Linked DNA regions of Rattus norvegicus. The protein of the gene in region 3 interacts with the protein of the main gene of each other region in a pairwise test. Links are inferred from orthologs where the notes say so. Each region holds a gene or a part of one and is shown on either strand. Other genes may lie near its edges.

Region 1 (4,097 bases), on a different chromosome or scaffold from region 3:
TTTCAAAATGACTATGTGTGATTTTCTTTTTAGCGGGAAGTTTTCTGTCACTGCTTTCTTGAGACCCCACATCCAATTTCACCACAAAACCTCAACCCTGCTAGCACCTCGAAGTCGTTCTATGATCGTAGTTCTAGGAGCCATCATGTTTGAACCTGGTTATTTATTTATTTATTTTTTTACTGGTCTCTGCTCCACTCCTTCTCTCCAAGAACATCTTCTACGTGAATCACCAGTACCTTTAATTCATAAATCAAATGATGCCTGGTCGCTGCTAAAAGCCTATAAGACCTGAACAGTATCTTAACTCCTCACAGCCACTTTTAAGTCTCTACCTGGCTGGTCTCCCTTTTTGCCTCAATTCTCTCGGCTACGCTGTAGGCGCTGGCCTCTTGGTCTGCCCTCCTTTCCAAATAGACAGTAGAGACTTGATTTGTCTTGTTCATCATCACTATCGCCCGCGGAGGTAAAACTTTGCTGACTGTAAGTGGAACCCTGTATGTAAGGAAAAAAAAAAAAAAAGAGCCTGACGTTTCTCAGTTGTCCCCAACTCTTGAGTCTCTGATAAACATTCTGGGAACTACTGGAAGGTAGCGTTCACGAACTGCCCAGTTATGAGGACAGACCCCGAGAAAAACCCAAACCTGTCAGGTGTCAGCTCCCCGGACCGAATGCGGAGCTGGCGGAATCTGAGGAGGAAGGTGTCATCTCCGGCCGCCTACCTGTCTGAGGAATCCGCGTCGTCAAATTGCCCGGGGACCACCGTGGCCATCCTATCCAGACTGCAGTCCATGACTAGTGGGGTAAGCCCTCGGAGCCCCGCAGGCCGCGAGTGGAAGAGACGACTTTCCACCTAGAGAACCCAACCGCGTCTCCGAGATCCCGGCCTCTCAAATCCCTAGGCAACCCCCAGGCCCAAAGCAAGGACCAGGGGCCACGAGGTGCCAGGATGCCGGGTTTCAGCAAAGGCGGCCACCGACAGGCCGGAAGTTTGCAACCAGAAGTACCTCTCCATGCCCTAGTGCCCTCAGGGAACATGCGCGTTACGGTGGCCGGGAAAGACCAATCCGCGAAGTGAAGTGGGCGTGGTGCATTGTTTATGGAGTGGGATGTGTAGCACGCGTTGCTATGGTTCTTGCTCCACCACGGCGTTTCCCGTCGTAGAAAGCCAGCCTGTTATTCCCTGACTGCTCCGAAAGACTTGCGTCCTCTGACCTCCTTCATCTGGACTCCTGTGCACTCCAGAGGACGTCACACTGGGACGTTCGAGCGCTCTGCGACGCACCAGTTGGTGCCCTCGGTGGGGACGGTTGGAAGGTGTTCTCCCTCCCGCAGAGTCGGTGGGCTGGGAGGAAACCCGGAATCCTTAGCCTGAGTCACAGAAGCTCTATGGATCATGGAAGTGAGCACACTTTTGCTCTCTAGAAACGTTGGTGCGTTGTTTTAAGATGCAAATGAGACAAGTGGTTGTTTTTTTAAAGTTGGGAAATTCAAATTTCTGCGTCTGGCAGGAACTCTCGTCATACCTCTTTCTGCCTGTTTTTTAAATGTTAAAGTGTCAAGTATTATCTAGAGCGCGCGTGTGTATGCATGCGTATGAGTGAAGTTCAGAGAATAACTTGAGAGTTTACTCCTCCCACCTTGGGCTCCGGAAACCGACTCTGGTCTTCCACGCGTTTCCCTGTTAAGCCATCTCACAAGCCCTTATTATCTTAAACCGGCTTTAACTCATGCCTGGTGGTGGTGGTGGTGGTGGTGGTGCACACCTTTTTTCCTAGCACTTGGGAGGCAGAGACAGGCGAATCTTTGTGAGTTCAAGACCAGCCCGGATTAGAAAGCTTGTTCCAGGAGAGCCAGAGCTACACAGAGAAACCCTTTCTTGTAAAACAAACAAAAGTCTAAAAATCGCCAGGCACACCAAAGTGAAAGATGAAAACGAAAAAGGAAGTCTCTCTCTCTCTCTCTCTCTCTCTCTCTCACACACACACACACACACACACACACACACACAGACTACTCACAACTACTATAACTCCAATTCCAGAGGTTCCTGCACACACATACATTTTTTAAAGTGTAATTGCAAGTCACAGGCCCATGGAAAAGAAAAACATTTCGCATTTGGAAAGTGATTTAAGGCTTTCCACATGCCTGTCATCCCACAGGTAGCCTTTATTTGTAGGATGGGAAAGATGAGCCTAAGGTTGAATCCTCCAGGAGCCCCGCCTAGCTTCCTTGGCCTACTTGGTTTTTTTACACTTTACCAAGTGATGACATCGATTTGAAAACTTCAGTAAATTAAGTAATCTAACAAAGTCATCCGGGCAGACAGGTACTAAGAGTAGACTGAGACAATTTGATAATGTCACTAGAATGCCAGGTATTTTCAACCAGCGTTTAACTGTGTAGCCCCTTCTTAACTGAGGATCATGGCCCCATGATGGGGTAGGGTGGGGGAGTCATAAATTCTCCACACCCAAAACTTGATTCATAATTTAAATTGTGGGATGAATCTGACAAATGCCTGATAATGTTCACCCATGATAACCTCACACAACTTCCACTGTTCTCACCACTATACCAACCCACAGTAACAAACGGCCCGAAATATCTCTGTTCAGATTGGACACTTATATGTTCCTGTTAGGGTCCAAGAATAACTGAAGGGAGACCCCAGACTCAAAACAGTATGCAAAGGCAAACAGTGTTTACTGCAGAAATGACCAGCATTCAGGGGCCAACTATCAGAACAGCGACCACCTGAGGGGTTCGTGGACCCCTTTTATGAAGGACTAAGAGAATTTTCCAAAAGGATTAGGTTACCTCTAATGTGATTGGTAGAGGGCAAAGCAGTGACATCAGTCCAATTTTGTTTGGTTGTTAGTTTCATTGTAATTGGTGAGACCTTGAAGAATTTTAGAAACCAGCTCTGTTCTGGCCTTGTTATCTCCTCCAGCTAGGTGGCCCAGACGGATCTCCCTAAGTCAGGGCTCATCGACTAAAGGCCTGTTGTCAGTGGCTCCTAAGGAACCCAGCCTGCTGTCCAGGGAATGAAAATTTTATTCCCAAGGTTTTGGGACTTCTCATTATGAACTGCAGTGTTTTTACTGTACACTGCAGTTTTCTGGTCTTATAGAAATAATCATTTTATTACAGAAGGCAGACTTAATATTTTCCTGATTGAACTTCTTGGCATATAAATATCAAAGTAGTATATCTTTGCATGGTATTATGTCAGATAAACACATCTAATTAACATGTAAATTTGCTTTCCTATTTAACAAGTGGTAAAATTATATGCATATTAAAAGAATTGTTTTAAAATAAATCTCTATATAATTTATTATCAGTAAGTGTTTTATTTGTATTTCTACTTTATACACATGTAAACTTTACGTAGTGAGTGGGAAAAGTTTTAAAAGCCTTGAACTAATGTATCCCACTTGATGTAAAGAGAGGACTATTAATAGGAAAATCAGGCTAGAAAGATGGATAAAAGTACACACTGTTCCTACAAAGGACTGGAACTTGGTTCCCATGCCCAGGTCAGGTGGCCCCCCCTCTTCCTGTGCCTGGGGACCTGACCCCACTCGCTTCCAAGGACACCTTGAATCACAAGCACAGACATGCAAATACATACACAAAACTAAATTAATTAGAAAGCGAGGCCCAAGAAATGAGAGAACCAACATAGGACAGCACTGGCCTGTGTGCAGTTTGAAGTATTGAAAGACTATATAGACTCCTTGCCGGACGATGATAATGTGCACATGGGAACACCCTTGCAGTCAGTCGTGGTTAAGACTAAACAGTAAACAGTGTGAGTTATGACAACAATGCAAATATAACATCGCAGAGAATGTAGAGCTAGGCAGAGGTTGCCCTGGGTTTTGTCAGCTTCACGCAAACTCTTTGAGTCACCCAGGAAAAGAAAAGCTCGACTGGGGGGTGGCCTCCACCTGTGGCCATTTCTGTGGGGCATTTTCTTTATTACAGATTGTTGTTGAAGGGTCCAGCCCACTGTGGTCTGGGCCATTCCTGGGTTGGTGAGCTTGGGTGGGTTTTGTTTGTTTGTTTTTATAAAAGGTAAATGAGCA
Region 2 (4,109 bases), on a different chromosome or scaffold from region 3:
CTTTTGTCCTCTACAAATTTTTCTTTAATTCCTAAGACTGGACAGGCACAAAGCACCCCACTGGGCGTGGTCCTGAACCATTTTAAGGACTTTCACGGAGTCACAGAAGACTCAGATCTGGTTGTTTGTCCCTGCAAACTAGCCATCTTTTATAGGAATGAATGGCCCACCTATGAAGTAGGATGGCCTGAGGAGGGGACTTTCCATCTCCCCATCATTGACAGGGTGAAGGTTCAGTTTATGAAGCTGGGGGCCACCCAGACCAAGTGCGATGGGCCTCGCCATTCCCCACCCTTCTTCCTCTAAAGGAAGGTCAGCCTCAGCCCCCTGGCTTGCTCCCCCTTTCTGCTCCCTGCGAGGCGGATCTCTGTCCCCCTCCTTATGTTCCTGCTCCTGCCCAGCCAGCACAGGAAGAAGGGGGTCAGCCTCTGACCCGAGCCCCCATCCTCCACATCCCAGAGAACTTCCCAGCTTCACAACAACACAACACACCCTCCAAGCAGTGCCAGTATCGTATTTATTATTTTCTTTTCCATTTGTTTGCTTTCCATGGCAAGTGAAAAAATAATTTAAACCAATTATATGTACAGAGGCTTGGCTACTCTTCCCAAGAACTGCCAGAAAGATCTCAGCCCCTTAAGTAGCAAAGAAGGGTCACCTTTAACAACCATACAAAACTCCACCTAGAAAAGTCTCATGTGTAGAAAGGTTGTAGTTATTACAAGCATCACATTTTGGGGACAGGAAGGGAAGTCAGAGTGGGAGACGGGGGACAGTGTGCAGGGTAGGGCGACACACACACCAGCCCAGGGGTCACTCTGGGTGAGGAAGCTACAGCCGAGGAGTTTCAGGTGATCTGCAGAGGGGTCTCCAACATCTCCATGAGGAAGGTGTCAATGGGGGTATCCCCAATGAGCTTGAAGAAGAAGAGGTGTTCCAGGCATTTCAATCCAATGGAGCGCAGAGCTGGGAGGCGCAGCAGAAGCTTGGCAAACCTGTAGGGAAGCCAAGGGGCATTGTTACCAGGGGATGGTAAGAAGAGACACGAGCTGTCAGTGGTGGAGAGTGTCTCATGGGTCTCCATCAAGCTTCAACAGAAACGCGGGGAAGCAGAGATAAGAGGAGTTTAAGGAGTGCAACCCTGGGAGCTTCTAGGAACGTCAGAAACCAGCTAGAGGGCTGGTTCGTGTTAAAAGAAGAACCGGGATCCCACAGCATGTTGGCAGTCTTGGAGTTTATGACATGTTCCAGAATAGCCCTCAGCACCCCCATCAATCATGGAACTGTACACTGACATTGCCTGCCTTGCCGGCCATTTCCCTGCACTCCTCGGGGTCTGCCAAGATTAGTAGTGGGGGCCTTAGGACGGGGAGTGACACATGAGGTGCGCTGTTCTCAGGACGGCTATCAGCACTAGATGAATAAAAGTGGGGACCTGCCTGTACCAGGCGTGACCATAGACACTGATTTTCCTCTCAGTCTAGCTTGTCTCTTTAGACTGTATGACCTCGGTCTGCTTTCAAAGACAAGTTTTCCGTTTCAATTAACCAGTCACCATGAAGTTCTACGACCAGCATCCGCCTCTGAGCTTCCTATTACGTTGGGATGAGGAAGGGGGAAAGACTAGTAGTTGACTTCTGAGAAGCCTGTCTGTTTCGGGAGAAAATACACTTACACTCATACGCACTGATCACACGTCCTCACACACACGGGCTGCTCCCATTAGTCTCACACATGCGCACAGTCTCTCCTTCATTCTCACCTCCTCCCTATTGCGGTTTGAGCATGGAATATATCCGGTAGGCTCATGTATATTTACGCTGGTCTCCAGCTGGTGGCGCTGTTTGGGAAGGTTGCGGAAATTTTGGGAGCTGGGGCCTCACTAAGTGAAATGAGTCACTAAGGGCAGGACTCTTTAGAGCCTGGCCCCTCTTTCATTTGCAATCTGCTTCCTGCGTGTAGTAGGATGTCACCACCTGCCTCCTGCTCCTGCACCAGGTTTCTCTGCCATGATAGACAGGGTCCCTCAGGAACCGTAAGCCAAGATAAATCCTTCTCCTCTAAGTTGCTTTTGTCAGAGCATTTTACCACAGCAACAAGAAAGACACCCCCAACATGGGCTGGCACACCTACCCCTCACTTACACATACACACTCACAAACGTGTGTGTGTGCATACACACATTTTTGCATATGCACATTCACACCCAGGCTGCCGTACATACACAGTCTCACGTGTGTGTGTGTGTGTGTGTGTGTGCGCGCGTGCGCGCGCACGCGCGTGCAAATATCCTTACTCTCACATGTAGACACACTCTAACATTTGTCCATACTTGCTATAATGGGGGTGTTCAGTATGAGTCCAGAGAAGGGAGAAGTAGCATGGGAAGAGTTGGGTGTCATTTGTATAGCCCATTATGTCCCTTGATTTGAAACATGCTTTGATTTGCATATGCAACTTCAGTTTTTCATTTTAAGAAAGTTTTGAATTGGAATGTCATTGTTCCTTGGAAATGTGCATACCTCTATATTCATGTCACATGATGTTTAAAAATACTGCATTAGGGCTGAGGAAATACCTCTGTCAGGAAACTGTTCACCACATAAGTGTAAAGACCCGAGGAAAAGACAGTAGAGTGTCTCTCGGGCTAACTAGGCAGCTGACCCTACATAGTCTATGAGTTCCAGACCAGTGAAACACCTCTATCTATCCATCTATCTGTCTGTCTATCTATCTATCTATCTATCTATCTATCTATCTATCTATCTATCTATCTCTATCTCACACACACACATGTACATACACACATGTACATACACACATAGCCAGCACTTATGAAATGACATCTGAGATTAACTTCTAGCCTCTAAATGCACATGTATGCACACCTGGACAGACAAATGCACCTATGCCAGCATACACCCAAATAAGACAAAAATTATATATATATATATGTGTGTGTGTGTGTGTGTGTGTGTGTACATATATATGTATATATATAAAATAAATTGACACCAGACAAAGAGCCTTCCCTTTAAAATGCAAAGTTAGACTGAGATTAATTCTAGCACCCTGTAAAGCTGTCAATATTACACAGTCTCTACACACATATACTGTTGGCACTGGGTTTGAGAACAAGGCCAGGGCTAAAGGAATGAACCAGTGCATCAGAAGACTCTGTCCCTGCATTCCTGGCTGGTATATCAGGATCAAGATAGTCCCTTGATAGGGACTTACTGTGTGTGCAAGATGTGTGTGGGTTCTGTACCTGGCTTTGATTTCTGCTTCTAACTTTCTCAAACTTGGGCCCTACAGGGTGTACTGCTAAGTCCTATCCACAAAGTGGCAGCACTCCACTGTGGAAAAAAATGCCGTGACTGGGCAGTGCCAGCGTGCAAGACAGACCTACACCGAGTTAGTTACCTGTCTAACTAAGCCAAGTGATTCCTCTCAGGCACGGGCCCAACCTCCTGTGAGCTCAGACAGAAAGATCACCCCTTGTCCAAGGTATGCTGGAGACAGAAGACACCACCTCCCTAAATTGGAAGAAGAAAGCTGGCTTTTCTCCCCAGCATCTAGAGCCTCAGCTGGTTGAGACCCTGTGAGTTGAGATCCTTTGCGGGGGGGGGGGGGGTCGTCACATATCAGATATTTACATTATGATTCATAACAGTAGCAAAATTACAGTTATAAAGTAGCAACAAAATAGCTTTATGGTTGGGGTCACCACAACATTTGAAACTGTATTAAAGGGTCTCAGCATTAGGAAGGTTGAGAACCACTGGTTTAGAGGTAGCCGTGTTCTTGGCAGTCTCTTCCAGGAAAAGCATCAGTTCTAAAGTTTTTAAAGTGATATTTAGAGGGACTGGAGAGAAGGCTCAGAAGTTAAGCACTGAATGCTTTTCCAGAGGACATGGGCAACACATGGCAAGTTACAACTGTCTGCTACTCTCCTTTTTTTTTTTTTTTTTTTTTGGTTCTTTTTTTCGGAGCTGGGGACCGAACCCAGGGCCTTGCGCTTCCTAGGTAAGCGCTCTACCACTGAGCTAAATCCCCAGCCCCTGTCTGCTACTCTAAGATCTGACACCCTCAGACATACAGGCAAGCAA
Region 3 (3,943 bases):
TAAGCTGCAGGACTGGAAATTTTCTTTTCCAGGAACCCACTTGGAAACCTCTTAAAAGTCTGCTGGCAAGGAGGGGATTAAAAACTGAAGGCTTAAATAACTGTCTGCACCTCCTAGACACCAGAAGTCTGATTTACCTAAACTTTCAAAGCGACAATTTTTGACCTCTGTACTCGAACGCTGCCTAAGCCAAGCCCAGAAGAAATGAGTCCTGGATTTCGCTGTCCTTGTTTAAATAATGGTGCTCATTTGAGTCAGGAAGATAGCCACCTCACTTACTGGATGGAGGGACTTTAGAGCTCGCTCCCGGTGCAACCCCGCCAAATTTCATTCTCTCCTCCCTCTGCCTCGCGGACCGAGAACCTTGTAAACTCAGGCCCCTACTCTTTTATGCCCATTTCCAGTTACTCATTCCCGCATGCGGGAGCGATGCCCACACTCTTTCCCCGTGGTTGTACCGCTACTTTATTTTTCTGGAGATGCTAAAAAAGTTCCACGTGCCTCTGTCCACTAAGCTCCCTCCCTTCCCTTCACACTTACACCTGAACTTGTCTCCAGCACTGCTGACACCCAGCTGGCACATTCTTTCAGAGAAGGAGGGCACGACTTTTCTCCTGAGCCTCTGACAAAGCGTGGGGTCTATATATGGTGGGGCGCGGGGGGGGGGGGCTGCAGAATTCTCTACTTTGGATTGGTTTGTTTGTTTTAAATCTAGGGTGGGCAGATGGGGTGGGGGGCTGCAGCTACTACACACACACACACACACACACACACACCACACACACACACACACACACACACACACACACACACACACACACACACACACACACACACACACACACACGCCCTGCTCTGTCAACCGCTCTCCTTGCCAGGTTCTGGCCACAACTCCCTCCTCATTCCGTAGGCGCTGAGTACCCGATGGGCACCGCCACCGCCACTGCCGGCGATGTTGGCAGCACTAAGGACACTAGACTCACTCCCCCAGGGTTGGCTAAGCATTTTCCCCCACCTTCCTCTCTCCCAGCGGGGCACCGACTGAAGACCGCCGTAAAACACGGGCTCTGACGTCGTTGCCATCCTCGGTGCCGCATCTTAACCCCTGGTCTGGGACAGAAGCCTCCGAAGCGCCCTGGCATCTCCAAGCATACAGGCAGGAGACCGAGTCCGCACCCTGAACAACCGCCTCCTCGCTGAGTCCCGGAGCTGCCAGGCACCTCCCCGGGAACGGCTGGGAAGGGAAGGGATCCAGCCAGCCATCGGGCTGCAGAGGGAATGTGGAGGCCACAGCCTTGCCCCCTCTTTGGAAGTCTTTCCCTTCCAGTTAAAGTTGTGTTTGTTTTCCCCACCCTGACTTGTTAGTGTCTTTACCATCACAAATCAATTAGACATTTTTCATGACCCGCATTCACTCTTAATTCCGGGTGTGTTGGGGGTGCGCTATAAATCAACCCCCGGGCTCATCTTTCCGTGCTCTTGCTGGGGGATTTCAATGCCCTCTCGAACCTCTAGGTACACCTCCTAGGCCGCAAAAGCCCGAAATTTAAAAGATTTTTAAAGACAATCTTGCCACATGTAAATGTAAATAGGGGTGGCGGTGGGGGCCCCTCACAACTACTGCTTAGGTAGAAAAGAAACTGGGCGGCCGCGGTTACTTTTCCACGCTGCCGTACCCCGCCTCCCAGCCCTCTCGCTCGGCAGGCAGCGGTCGCCGAGACCGGAGAGTAAGGTCCGGGCGCGGGGGCCGGCGGAGAGCTCCGCGCTGGAGCGCTATGCGCGCGAGCGACCGGAGCACAAAGCTGCACGGAGCCGTCCGGCCACTGCACCTGGCCCGGGGCCGCCGCGGGCGCACGGGGCTCGGGCCAACACAATGCACCCGGGCCTAGGCCGGGGCAGCTGCCGCGCACGACCCTGGGACTTTCTAGTAAACAGATCTCCGACTCCCCGGCCCCACCCCCATCCCTTGCCCCGGGGCTTTAGCCGCGGGCTTTCGCAGACAACCTCTCCCCCGGCACCCCCGCCGCCACCTTCCTGAGAAACCCGGAGAAGGAGGGGGCAGGGAGGCGGGGACCCCGAGAGGTCGGTGGCCGAGGGCTTGGGGGGAAGGGAGAACAGGGGGCGAGATGGGGAGTGGGAAGAAGGGCAGCTACGCAAAGAAATTCGCTCTCGCTTGCGGGGGCTTCGGGGGAAACAAATCTGCTCTCCCCGGGTCCTCTAGTGTTCAGTCCGCCAACCTCAGGGTCGCGGGGCCGCCGCGCTCCGCAGCTCCCGCGCCCTCGCACGCGCCTCTGACAAGGCACCTCTCACCCGGGCTCCGCTTTGTGTGTGCATTTTTTTTTCCTTCCTCTCGCGCCCGGCACCGGCCGCCTCCTCCCCCCTCCCCCGCCCTCCGCCTCCCTTTCCCGGGCGGATTACCTTTCCCGGGCTGCGCTCCGGGTCCCCGGGATGCCTTCAGCGCCCGGTGTGCGGGCGAGCCATCGCCAAGCCACCCGAGCCGGCTCGGAGCAGCGCTGGGGGTGGCAGGGGCGAGGGGCTCGGGCGGGCCAGAACCTTCGACCCCGGAGGTCCCCGCCGCTGATCCAGGGCCTGGGAGGGCAGCACTGGGGCGCGGTGCGAGCGGGACGCGGGGTCGCTGCGGGGGGAGGTGGAGAGGACCGGAGCAGCCTCGATCTGGGGAGAGAACGAGCGAGGGGGCGAGGAGAGACAGCCAGGGCGCGGCGAGCGAAGGGAGCGCGAGCGGTGCAGTGACAGGGACTGCCACTGGGGTCAAAGGAGCACAGCTCCAGGAAGCTGGGCCGCCCAGGCGCCGCTTGCTGCGAGCTCCCCGCCCGGACCCCTCGCCCTGCACGCCCCTGCCGTAGTTCCGGCCCACTCGAACCCCCCACCCGCGCCCCGTGGCCGCGGGGTTTCCAGGAGGGGAGGGAGAGCGGAGGGCGAGGCCCGCAGGCTGCTGGTGCTCCCTGGGTCAAGCAGGCGGCAGGAAGCAGAGCTGCAAGTTCACCATCGTGTGTGATCAGCGTTAAAATGATAGAGGTCGGGGAGATGGGGGCGGGCCACTAAGCGCCAGGAATATAGGGGAGACCCCCAGATGGGCGTCTTCTGCAAAGAGAATACCAAGCTCCCGCCCTCCACTCATGAACCTGCCAGGCTCTGTCAGAGGTCTTGGCACAGCTCCAAAGCGCAGAACTCGCTGCAGGGGCAGAAGGAGCGACAGGGGCACTAAGATCTCACCAAGAGGGGCGACCCCTGGGTCCCTCAACTCAGCTGAACTGAGGCTTTCCTGCGGGGTATCAAGCTCCCCTCTCCTCAACCCTCTCAAAGCGCCAGACGCACACACACCCCTCTTTGCCTCTATGTTGTTCCTGAGAAAGAAAAGGCCAACCCAGCTGGTGTTTTTTCACCTTCATGAATTAAGACAGGTTCAGGATAAGAAGGTGAAGTCAGGCAAAGGCTTTAATTGTTTCCGCACCCCCACCCCCACCTCCTGCGCGCCCCTTTGAATCACATTCTCCCTTTCCCAAAGACCTGCTCTTTAAAAAAATGTTTTTAAATCGAAGTTACTCCAATTTTCTCTGCTACTTTGGAAACCTGGCGGGGAGGGGGCTGGAACCCTAGGAATTGTATGCAAAGGGGGGCGGGGCAAGGATAGAAAAAGCCGCTGAAATGGTGGGACAGAAGACAGAAGGCTTTTTAGAAAACTTGGTTGGCACGGCTGTCTGAAAGATGAGGTGGCCCTGTGATGTTATGCCACTGTCAGAGCTGAAGGATTTGGAAGGCGACCAGATCTAATTCCTTTCTAGGAGTCAGACTCTAAAAAAAAAAAAAAAAAAAAAAATCACCATTCTCCGAAGGGAACAGCAGTATGCACAGGAGAGAAACGTGTGCTTTGTATACTATGTGACAACTGACTAGACGTCCTGGCTGAAATTATATCCCCTAA

Evidence for each region.
Region 1: the proteins of Mpped2 (region 3) and Cage1 interact in binary tests that used the Homo sapiens proteins (3 or more experiments, as listed by UniProt). The two-hybrid records come from large-scale screens. The link is inferred for Rattus norvegicus from reciprocal best matches to the Homo sapiens genes MPPED2 and CAGE1.
Region 2: the proteins of Mpped2 (region 3) and Rxrg interact in binary tests that used the Homo sapiens proteins (3 or more experiments, as listed by UniProt). The two-hybrid records come from large-scale screens. The link is inferred for Rattus norvegicus from reciprocal best matches to the Homo sapiens genes MPPED2 and RXRG.

Annotation. Positions count from the first base shown.
Region 1 is NC_086035.1:26,994,409-26,998,505, forward strand, and holds the start of Cage1 (cancer-associated gene 1 protein homolog), read left to right. Parts: upstream 1-1,297; 5' UTR 1,298-1,433; intron 1,434-4,097. Other genes in the region: Riok1 (serine/threonine-protein kinase RIO1), read right to left, coding at 723-793.
Region 2 is NC_086031.1:82,314,487-82,318,595, reverse strand, and holds the end of Rxrg (retinoic acid receptor RXR-gamma), read right to left. Parts: intron 996-4,109; coding exon 848-995; 3' UTR 504-847; downstream 1-503. UniProt on the Homo sapiens protein: Receptor for retinoic acid. Retinoic acid receptors bind as heterodimers to their target response elements in response to their ligands, all-trans or 9-cis retinoic acid, and regulate gene expression in various biological processes.
Region 3 is NC_086021.1:113,634,474-113,638,416, reverse strand, and holds the start of Mpped2 (metallophosphoesterase MPPED2), read right to left. Parts: upstream 2,804-3,943; 5' UTR 2,419-2,803; intron 2,320-2,418; exon of another isoform or gene 2,238-2,319; intron 2,072-2,237; exon of another isoform or gene 1,016-2,071; intron 622-1,015; exon of another isoform or gene 541-621; intron 1-540. UniProt on the Homo sapiens protein: Displays low metallophosphoesterase activity (in vitro). May play a role in the development of the nervous system.